Linked DNA regions of Daphnia pulex. Each later gene encodes a partner of the first gene's protein in a complex. Links are inferred from orthologs where the notes say so. Each region holds a gene or a part of one and is shown on either strand. Other genes may lie near its edges. The genes, in order: vam6/Vps39-like protein and vacuolar protein sorting-associated protein 41 homolog.

Region 1 (4,306 bases):
ACGTCCGTATCAAGATATTCTGAAATACGCGATTCCCAGTTCATTCGCTTGACTCCAGCTGTCGCTAAAATGAGTGCAGCATACGTTCCTTCGTCGTCTAATTTGCGTAGTCTATCACAGAAACTCGCGATTAATGACGAAAGATTTTATCTATCGGCGAAATTATATTATACCTTGTGTTTAAATTTCCCCTTACGTCTTGGATTGCAAGGTGGGGAAAGTGGCGCTTCAATTGAGCTGCTCGGCGCAACGAACTCGTTCCTAATAAATAATGACGGGTTTGAATACTTGATCACTCTTTCTATTGAAATTTTTCAACTGACCTACGACGCTGCCACTTGGTAAAGTTGCTAATGTACACCCGGAAAACTTGGGAGCCATTAAGACTGCGTCTCTAGGATCTTCTCGCCTAAAATGCATGTGAGTAAATAATAGCATGATCATTTTGGTTTTAAAATTACTTACTCTAGAATGGCACCGATGACCATGCCTTCAGGAAGCGTCGTCGGCATGTCTTTAAGTGAGTGTACTACGAGATCGACCTTATTATGTTCCAGAGCCACCTCCAATTCACGAGTGAACAAACTCTTTTCGCCAATTTGTGATAATGCTCTGTCAAGCACCTCGTCTCCGATGGTGGTCATCGTTTCTTTAAATGATAAAAGTTGTTTTATCTGAATTAATTTCATGAAAGGGGCCAGCGAAGCGCAAATATGCGAAAATATTACCGAGATGAAATGTTTTGTCTTCATAGTGTTGAGTGAGGAGATCGAGCACATGATTGCTTTGAACAAGCGCAAGCTAAAATCAAATATAGAATAACGTCGCAATTTTTGAAGTATGCGCTAGCGGAAATAATGATTTATGAGAATAATACCTGACTTTTGCGGGAACCGATACGAACGGTTGGTTTCGTCAAATCCGACATCTTCTTCAATGAATATGGTTCCTTGGTTCTTTCTGGGAAGGGAAACGTGATGAAGACTAGAATCTGATTAGAAATTTGATTGTGAATATGCGATAGTATTTCATAAACAAGATGACCAAGCAGTGAGGCAGCGTTGCGTAGAATAGAATATTTTGCGCTAAATACAAGGATTATAAAGAAAATTCACTTGAATATTGATAGGTCGGTGAGCAATTACACATTGACAGAACTTAGAATTTTTTAATATTTAATTGCTTGTATATTTTATCTTTCAGTTAGGTTGAATTATTCTGATTTTGGAATTTCTTTTAAATTAAATTTAGTGTGTGTAGTGAACTATAGATGGACATTTGTATGATGTCTGCTACAAAACAACAAATTCCCCCCCCCCTCCCAGTGTCATGTCAGATTAAAACACCATACAATTAGTGATTTTTAAAAATGTATGACGCCTATGAGGCGTTACCAATTTTGGAGAAATTACCTCTCCAAATTGAATCTATAGCTGCTTATGGTAATTTTACTTTAAATACAGAACCACTGTTTGATTTTAATTTATCAACTAGTCAACTGTGCCTTCTTATTATTTAACTATCCTTCATCTATATTATATGAATGGGTTTTATTTACATTGAAAATTTGTTTTCAGATGAACACTTGTTAGTGGGAACCCAACAAGGACATTTGTTGATGTACAGTGTTCTTCAAGGCGCAAGTAATGGTGGCAGTGCTGAAAGTTCTCTCAGCTCACGTTGTGAAGTCCACTTGCTAAGGTCCAACAAATATTTTGCCAAAAAACCAATACAACAACTAGCTGTTGTTCCTGAACACCAGATTCTTATCAGCCTTTCTGGTGAGCTTAATGTATTTAAGTGCCATTTGGTTTGTATAGGAATCTTATAACCAATTCTTCTTTATACTTTTCAGATTACCTTGTGTCTGTTCATGATTTGACAGTGTTTAATTTTCCAGTCATAACGTCACTTAATAAATCCAAAGGAGCCACATGTTTTAGTCTTGATGTCAAGGTAATATTTTTTCCCTTCCCAGAATCAACCAATGACTTTGATGGAAGTGACAAAATTAAACTTTTGTATTGTTCATTTAGAGACAAACTTCTTTGACTGGGGAGATATCAGTGGCAGTGAGGCTTTGTGTTGTAGTGAAGAAAAAACTGCAGCTTTTTTATTGGAAAAATCGAGAATTCCGGGAGTTAGGGCCGGATTTGTCGGTTTCCGATACTCCTCGGACTATTGGTTGGTGTAGAGAAACTCTTTGCTTAGGTTTTAAGGGGGAATATTGTTTACTCAAGGTATTTTTCTTTTGTAATTAACGATAATAGATTTGCTTAGGCAATAAATTATATTTTTTAACTTTTTATAGCTGGAAGGAGAGCAAAGAGATTTATTTCCCACTGGAAAACAGCCTGAACCTTTGGTATGTGCCTTACAAGGCGATAAATTCGCCTTGGGAAGAGACGAACAAACAATTATGATCGATATCGATGGCAATCCTTGCACCAAGTATACACTGACGTGGTCCGAGAGACCGATCCTATTAGGTAAAAGATACCCCAATATTGTTCAGAATATAACCTAAGTCGACTAATCAAAATGTTTGCAGTGGAGGACTCTCCATACATTCTGGGTGTGTTGACGTCTTGCATAGAGATTCGAGCAGCAGAGCCACGGCTCCTTGTCCAGCGATTAGAATTGCCAAAGGCCAAGTACATGACGTCAGTCATATCGAAGAACGGACAGATTTACGTTGCATCTCCCTCTCATGTTTGGTGTCTACATTTAGTCCCTGTACATTTGCAATTACCTCGCTTGCTTGAAGACAAACATTTTCAGTTGGCCATTCAGCTTGCGGTATGTTATAAATAAATTTTTCATAATTTTCGAGATGATGGGAAATAATGAGATTTTTCGTTTATGATTAGAACTTGTCTAACGAACCACAAGATATTCGCTCGCAGCAAGTTCAACACATCCAGTCGTTGTTTGCTTTCAATTTGTTCCAGAAACACAACTTTGACGAATCATTGCAGCTATTTTTCAAGCTTGCTACTGGTGATTAAAGAGAGAGCAAATGTATGAATTGAAATTATTTTACTAAAGAAAAAACCGATTGAATTTACAGATCCTTCTTACGTGATTGGTCTATTTCCCGATTTATTACCAGTAGAATTCCGGAAAAAAGTGGAATACCCCGAGGCTGTTCCCGTTTTGCAAGGTAGAGACCTCGATCTCGCTGTGTTGGCCTTGATTAAATATCTCACTGAGGTTGTTACAATTTTTAATATTTATTACCTACAAAGAGTTAATATTTGTTATTCAATTGTAGGTTAGGAATGACCTTATGAGTCAGAATGTCAAAACAGGAACCAACATTATGGACGTTGGTTCAAGCTTGAAGCTAAGACGTCAACTATTGGAAATAGTCGATACGACCTTGTTGAAATGCTATTTGTTGACCAACGATGCCCTGGTAGCTTCTTTGTTAAGACTACGAGATAACCATTGTCATTTAGCAGAGAGTGAACGAGCGCTGAAGCGCCATCACAAACATGCTGAGCTTATAATCCTTTACCAAACTCGCGGCCTTCATCGGAAAGCATTGGAGTTGCTTCGGAAACACGCAACTAGCTCAGAAGATTTTGGATCCCCCCTTGCTCATCATGACCGAACTGTACAATATCTCCAACATCTAGGTAGCCTAAACATGACTTTCTTTGAAACTGTAATATTTTTAAAAAAGGAAATCTTGTTGACTAGGATCGGAACACACGGACTTAATTTTTGACTTCTCCTCGTGGGTTATACAAAGCCACCCAGAAGATGGTCTTAAAATTTTTATTGAAGACTTGCCTGAAGTCGAGGAACTCCCACGTGCCAAAGTCTACGATTTTCTGTATAAGAACCATCGCTCTTTAGCTTTACCCTATCTCGAACATGTTGTCTACGAATGGCAAGATTCGAACGCTCTCTTCCACAATGCCTTAGCCGTGCTCTACAAAGATAAAATTCTCAGACTTGAAAAGCAGTTACAAGAGGATAACAATGACCCGGCAATTAAATGTGAATACCAAGATTCAAAAGCAAAGTTACGATCGTTCCTTGAAATTTCTCGGCACTGCTCTCCCGAGGCTATACTAGTTCAATTCCCATACGACTGTAAGTGACTTTAAAGATGTTTATGCTTTGGCTTTTTAAATTCTGCGTAATGTTACATTTTGAATTTTTATTATTATATATGTAGGCTTGTTTGAGGAGAGGGCCATTTTACTGGGCAAAGTTGGTCGTCACGAGCAAGCATTATCAATCTATACCAACATTCTCAAAGATTTACCGGCAGCAATAGATTACTGTAATATCT
Region 2 (4,266 bases), on another chromosome or scaffold:
TAAAGCCCGACAAATTGCCTTGAATTTGAAAACACCACTCCCAACGACATTTGATGCTCTAAATTCAACCACTTCACCAGAAGTATGCACTTTTAAAACTCGCCAATTAAAACTTTGTTTAATAGACATTTTTATGGTGCAAAACCTAAACACTTTCACCATCACTTTTAGATTGTAACATATTTCAAGAAAATTTATGGCTCGGTGAACGACATTGATTTATACATCGGTGGAGTAACAGAGACAAAAGCACCAGGATCTCTGGTGGGACCAACATTTACTTATATTATAGCTAAGCAATTTGAGAACCTGAGGCAATCTGATCGTTTCTTCTATACCGATGTAACGCAATCGGTTTCTTTCACTGCAAGTAAGAACAAAACCAATTTTGGTAATCTTTAGTGGCCTACTCAATTACTATGTGAAAAAAAAATGTTACTAATAGATCAACTGGTCGAAATCAAGAAAGTGAGTCTTGCCCGCATCATCTGTGACAACAGTGATGGAACTATTGCGCAAATTCAACCGCAGGCCTTCCGTACACCAACTGTGTAATGATTAATTTGTCACAAGTCTACTTGAAAAAATGAACTAATTTGATTTCTAAAACAATCATTTTATAGCACAAATATGCCAACTTCATGCAGTAGCATTCCAAAAATGGACTTTGTGAAATATACCAAATAAGCATCTGTATGGGTATCAAGAAAATGCATGGTTTTCACAGGCAGTTTTAAGAAAAATTGTGTTGTAAAATGGTGAAGGGAGGGGGGACTAAGGGAAAACCAATAGAAGACTACATTGTCTGTATACTTTGATAAATCTAATTTTCCTTTGAATAGTACATGTTCTCTATACTACGACAGAAAATATAGCTATTTCCCCCTTATCCTTGATACAGATATTTTTTCCCTTTTGAATAAATCTGGTCAAAGATACGTAATTAATTGAAAACTTGACTTACCGGTGATGATTAAGATGGTACTGGATACTGGGTTCTTGCTCATGGAGACCACCATTCAATGTTAATCATCCTGAATAGTATGAAAGAACAAAGAGATTAATGTTTTGTAGTTATTCAACTTTGAGAAATTGCAAAGAATATAGAAATGAACTACTCACTACATTGAAGGCACATTATTCTCAGCTTTTCACTGTCTCAGTATGTGGATGTGGGCCAAGAAAAGATGAAATTTTACAGTAGCTAAAGCATGGTATAGAAATCCTATACCATGGTACAAGAAAACATTATTAAAGTTGTCTTTCTAAAAAATAACTGCAGAGAAAGTCTATTGCACGTCAAATCAAAAAACGTACTAATCATGCTCTGTGCTCCTACGTTGCCATTTTATGATTTTAACTAACAAAAACCAGCAAAAACAATAACAAAAAGATCAAGAGTCGTCTGCATTTGACACCCCTTCAGTGACGATAAAATGTTGCAGAGTTAAAAGGCGCAGTAAACGATTTCTAGTTATTTTGTTACACAGAAAAAATTATATTATTTGTAAGTAGTTTCTCAGTTAGTTTTTCATTTTTACTTAGATTATATGTTGCCTTACAAAATGTTTCCCTTAACTGATGTTAGGAAATCATGGAAGAAACTGTTAGCAAGCTTGAACAGCATGATTTTGTGGAGCAGGCTGCAGAGATGTCACACAGTTTTGTTGCTGATGATGATGATGAAGAAGAAGAAGTTGAACCTAAGCTAAAGTATGAGCGATTGTCCAATGATATAACAGTTATCCTGAAGAAAGATGCAGCCAGCTGTATCGCTGTACATCCTAAGGTAAATATGATTAAATTGACAGTGCTTGTTTGTTAAAAATGTCTATGTATTTTGTAGTATATTTTTATCATTTCCCTTTAGTTTATGTGTCTAGGAACCAATTGGGGAGCATTGCATTTACTTGATCATCTTGGGCATTCATCACAGCAACAAGAGTTTCCCACTCATGGAATGGCAATAAATATGGTTGATATTGATAGTGGAGGAGACTATATTGGTAGCTGTTCAAATGATGGAAAGGTAGACTGAAGCATTTAGTTTTCACTTTCAGGTATAAAAATCTTTAATTTTCTAGGTTATGGTGTCTGGGCTTTACTCTACAGAAAATTGCCATACACTAATGGTTGATCGACCTGTCAAAGCTATTGCTCTTGATCCGCTGTACTACAAGTCTGGTTCTGGAAGAAGATTCGTAACTGGCGATGATAGGCTTATCTTACATGAAAAAGTGTTTCTTTCTCGCCTTAAATCGACCACCTTATTTGAAGGGGAAGGTGAAATCACTAACATTAAGTGGAAAAATAGGTTTCTTGCTTGGGCGAGCACAACGGGAGTAAGAGTCTTTGACATGTCTGTTCGCCGCATAATCAGCGTTGTCAAGAAAGATATCAGCCCTGGGTATGCATACATTTTTAAATATTATTAGAAACTGTTTACTAAATCCCACATAAAAAATACAGAATCAACCCAGAAAGTTATCGGTGTATCCTGTATTGGAAGGATGATTTGACACTGGTCGTTGCTTGGGCAGATGACATCAAGGTCTGTGTCATCCGAAGGCGTCCGGATGCTGACGCAGAGCGACTAAATCTTCCGACACATTACGTTGAAATTGGTACGTTTACCCTGAAAAAATAGTATTCCCTTTTTCTTAACGTTATAGATGCAATTTTATCTTTTCCAGTTTCGATGTTTATTATTGACTCATTCGTGGCTGGCGCTGGATGGCTGGGCAATCATTTAGCCCTTTTAGTAGTTCCAAAAGACGAGGAACTATCTGGCAAGGGTCAAAGACCTCAAATGAAGTTGGTGGAACCACACCAGGAAAGTTACAATGAAATCTCAGCAGATGTTTTATCAATTCGTGGCTTTCAGGAATACTCTTGCAACGAATATCATTTGGGTAATAAAGCAAATCAACCTGGTATATGATTGGAATTGACCACTACTTTTGGCCAATTTACAGAATGTCTGGCTGAAGAGGGTCAATTTTTCATCGTTAGTCCAAAAGATGTTGTTTTAGCTAAACCGCGCAATCCTGACGATCACGTCCAGTGGCTTATGGAACATCAGTAAGCGCAACTTTCAAAGTTTTTTTTTTCTCACAAAAAGAACTATCTTATTTCTAAAATAGAAAATACGAAGAAGCCATGGAAGCAGTTACGGGGCCACAAGCACGTGAACTGAAATGCCATTCTGTTCTTCAGGTCGGTAGGACGTACCTCGATTTCCTTTTGTCGAAGGGAGAGTTCCAGATGGCTGCCAAGCTCTGTGTTAAAATTCTGGGTTCGTACAGTAATTTGTACTCACTTTAGCCGTTCTTATAAATTGTTCGTCTCAAACAGGCAAAGAGAAAAATCTTTGGGAAGAGGAAGTTTTCAAGTTTGCTCGATTGCACCAACTACGGGCTGTTACCCCTTATCTTCCAAGAGGTGAATGTAGATTGGATCCACATATTTACGAAATGGTTCTCTTCGAGTTTCTCAAAACTGATTCAGCTGTAAGAACACATAATACTATGAGTAAAAAAATCAAGAAATGATTAAACGTTATTCTATTTCCAGGGCTTTCTTCGGCTAGTAAGAGAATGGAGTCCTACGCTCTATAACATTGCAGCTGTAATGAACGCTGTGCTCGAGCACATTCTTCGCCATGATCCAGATGATACCACTCTTCTAGAAGCCTTGGCTATTTTGTATTCTCACGAGAAGAAATACGATCGAGCCCTGGCAATGTACCTCAAGTACGTCAAACAAGGTTATTATTCTGTTATCGCGATACGGATTTCAAAATAGTTTTTGTTTCAGACTTCAGCATGCTGATGTGTTTCGGTTGATTGCTCAACATCAGCTCTTCACCACCGTCCACGATAAAATCCTCGCACTAATGGAACTGGACGTCAACCAAGCTTGTACGTTATTCCTAGAACACAGCGAACACATTCCTTCCGATTTAGTGGTGTCACGTCTACAAACTAAACCACAATTGTTATTCAAGGTTAGTCGTTCAAAACTTATCGTGTGAGTTTTTAATTAATTCAAGTTCGCTACAATTGTAGTATCTGGACGCGTTGTATCTCAAAGAACCAAAGGAAGGAAGCCGAAAATTCCACGGCCTTTTAGTTTCCCTCTACGCCGAATATGCGCAAGAAAAATTACTTTCCTTCCTCCGCAGCAGCGATTACTACCCGATCCAAGATGCTCTAGATACGTGCCAACAACGAGGATACATTCCAGAAATGATCTTCCTTTTGGGTA

Evidence for each region.
Region 2: vam6/Vps39-like protein (region 1) and vacuolar protein sorting-associated protein 41 homolog share a complex: the UniProt entries of both Homo sapiens proteins name them as parts of the homotypic fusion and vacuole protein sorting (HOPS) complex. The link is inferred for Daphnia pulex from reciprocal best matches to the Homo sapiens genes VPS39 and VPS41.

Annotation. Positions count from the first base shown.
Region 1 is NC_060022.1:6,334,214-6,338,519, forward strand, and holds the start of vam6/Vps39-like protein, read left to right. Parts: upstream 1-1,292; 5' UTR 1,293-1,369; coding exon 1,370-1,442; intron 1,443-1,577; coding exon 1,578-1,781; intron 1,782-1,855; coding exon 1,856-1,956; intron 1,957-2,036; coding exon 2,037-2,240; intron 2,241-2,311; coding exon 2,312-2,489; intron 2,490-2,551; coding exon 2,552-2,799; intron 2,800-2,870; coding exon 2,871-3,000; intron 3,001-3,070; coding exon 3,071-3,213; intron 3,214-3,274; coding exon 3,275-3,641; intron 3,642-3,705; coding exon 3,706-4,104; intron 4,105-4,189; coding exon 4,190-4,306. Other genes in the region: porphobilinogen deaminase-like, read right to left, coding at 1-111, 174-261, 324-409, 466-649, 729-801, 878-928. UniProt on the Homo sapiens protein: Regulator of TGF-beta/activin signaling, inhibiting SMAD3- and activating SMAD2-dependent transcription.
Region 2 is NC_060028.1:9,538,997-9,543,262, reverse strand, and holds the start of vacuolar protein sorting-associated protein 41 homolog, read left to right. Parts: upstream 1-1,375; 5' UTR 1,376-1,507; intron 1,508-1,588; 5' UTR 1,589-1,594; coding exon 1,595-1,789; intron 1,790-1,870; coding exon 1,871-2,029; intron 2,030-2,084; coding exon 2,085-2,407; intron 2,408-2,469; coding exon 2,470-2,624; intron 2,625-2,693; coding exon 2,694-2,912; intron 2,913-2,975; coding exon 2,976-3,081; intron 3,082-3,143; coding exon 3,144-3,295; intron 3,296-3,354; coding exon 3,355-3,509; intron 3,510-3,573; coding exon 3,574-3,752; intron 3,753-3,816; coding exon 3,817-4,006; intron 4,007-4,067; coding exon 4,068-4,263; intron 4,264-4,266. Other genes in the region: peroxidasin-like, read left to right, coding at 1-82, 172-370, 446-551, 624-687. UniProt on the Homo sapiens protein: Plays a role in vesicle-mediated protein trafficking to lysosomal compartments including the endocytic membrane transport and autophagic pathways. Acts as a component of the HOPS endosomal tethering complex.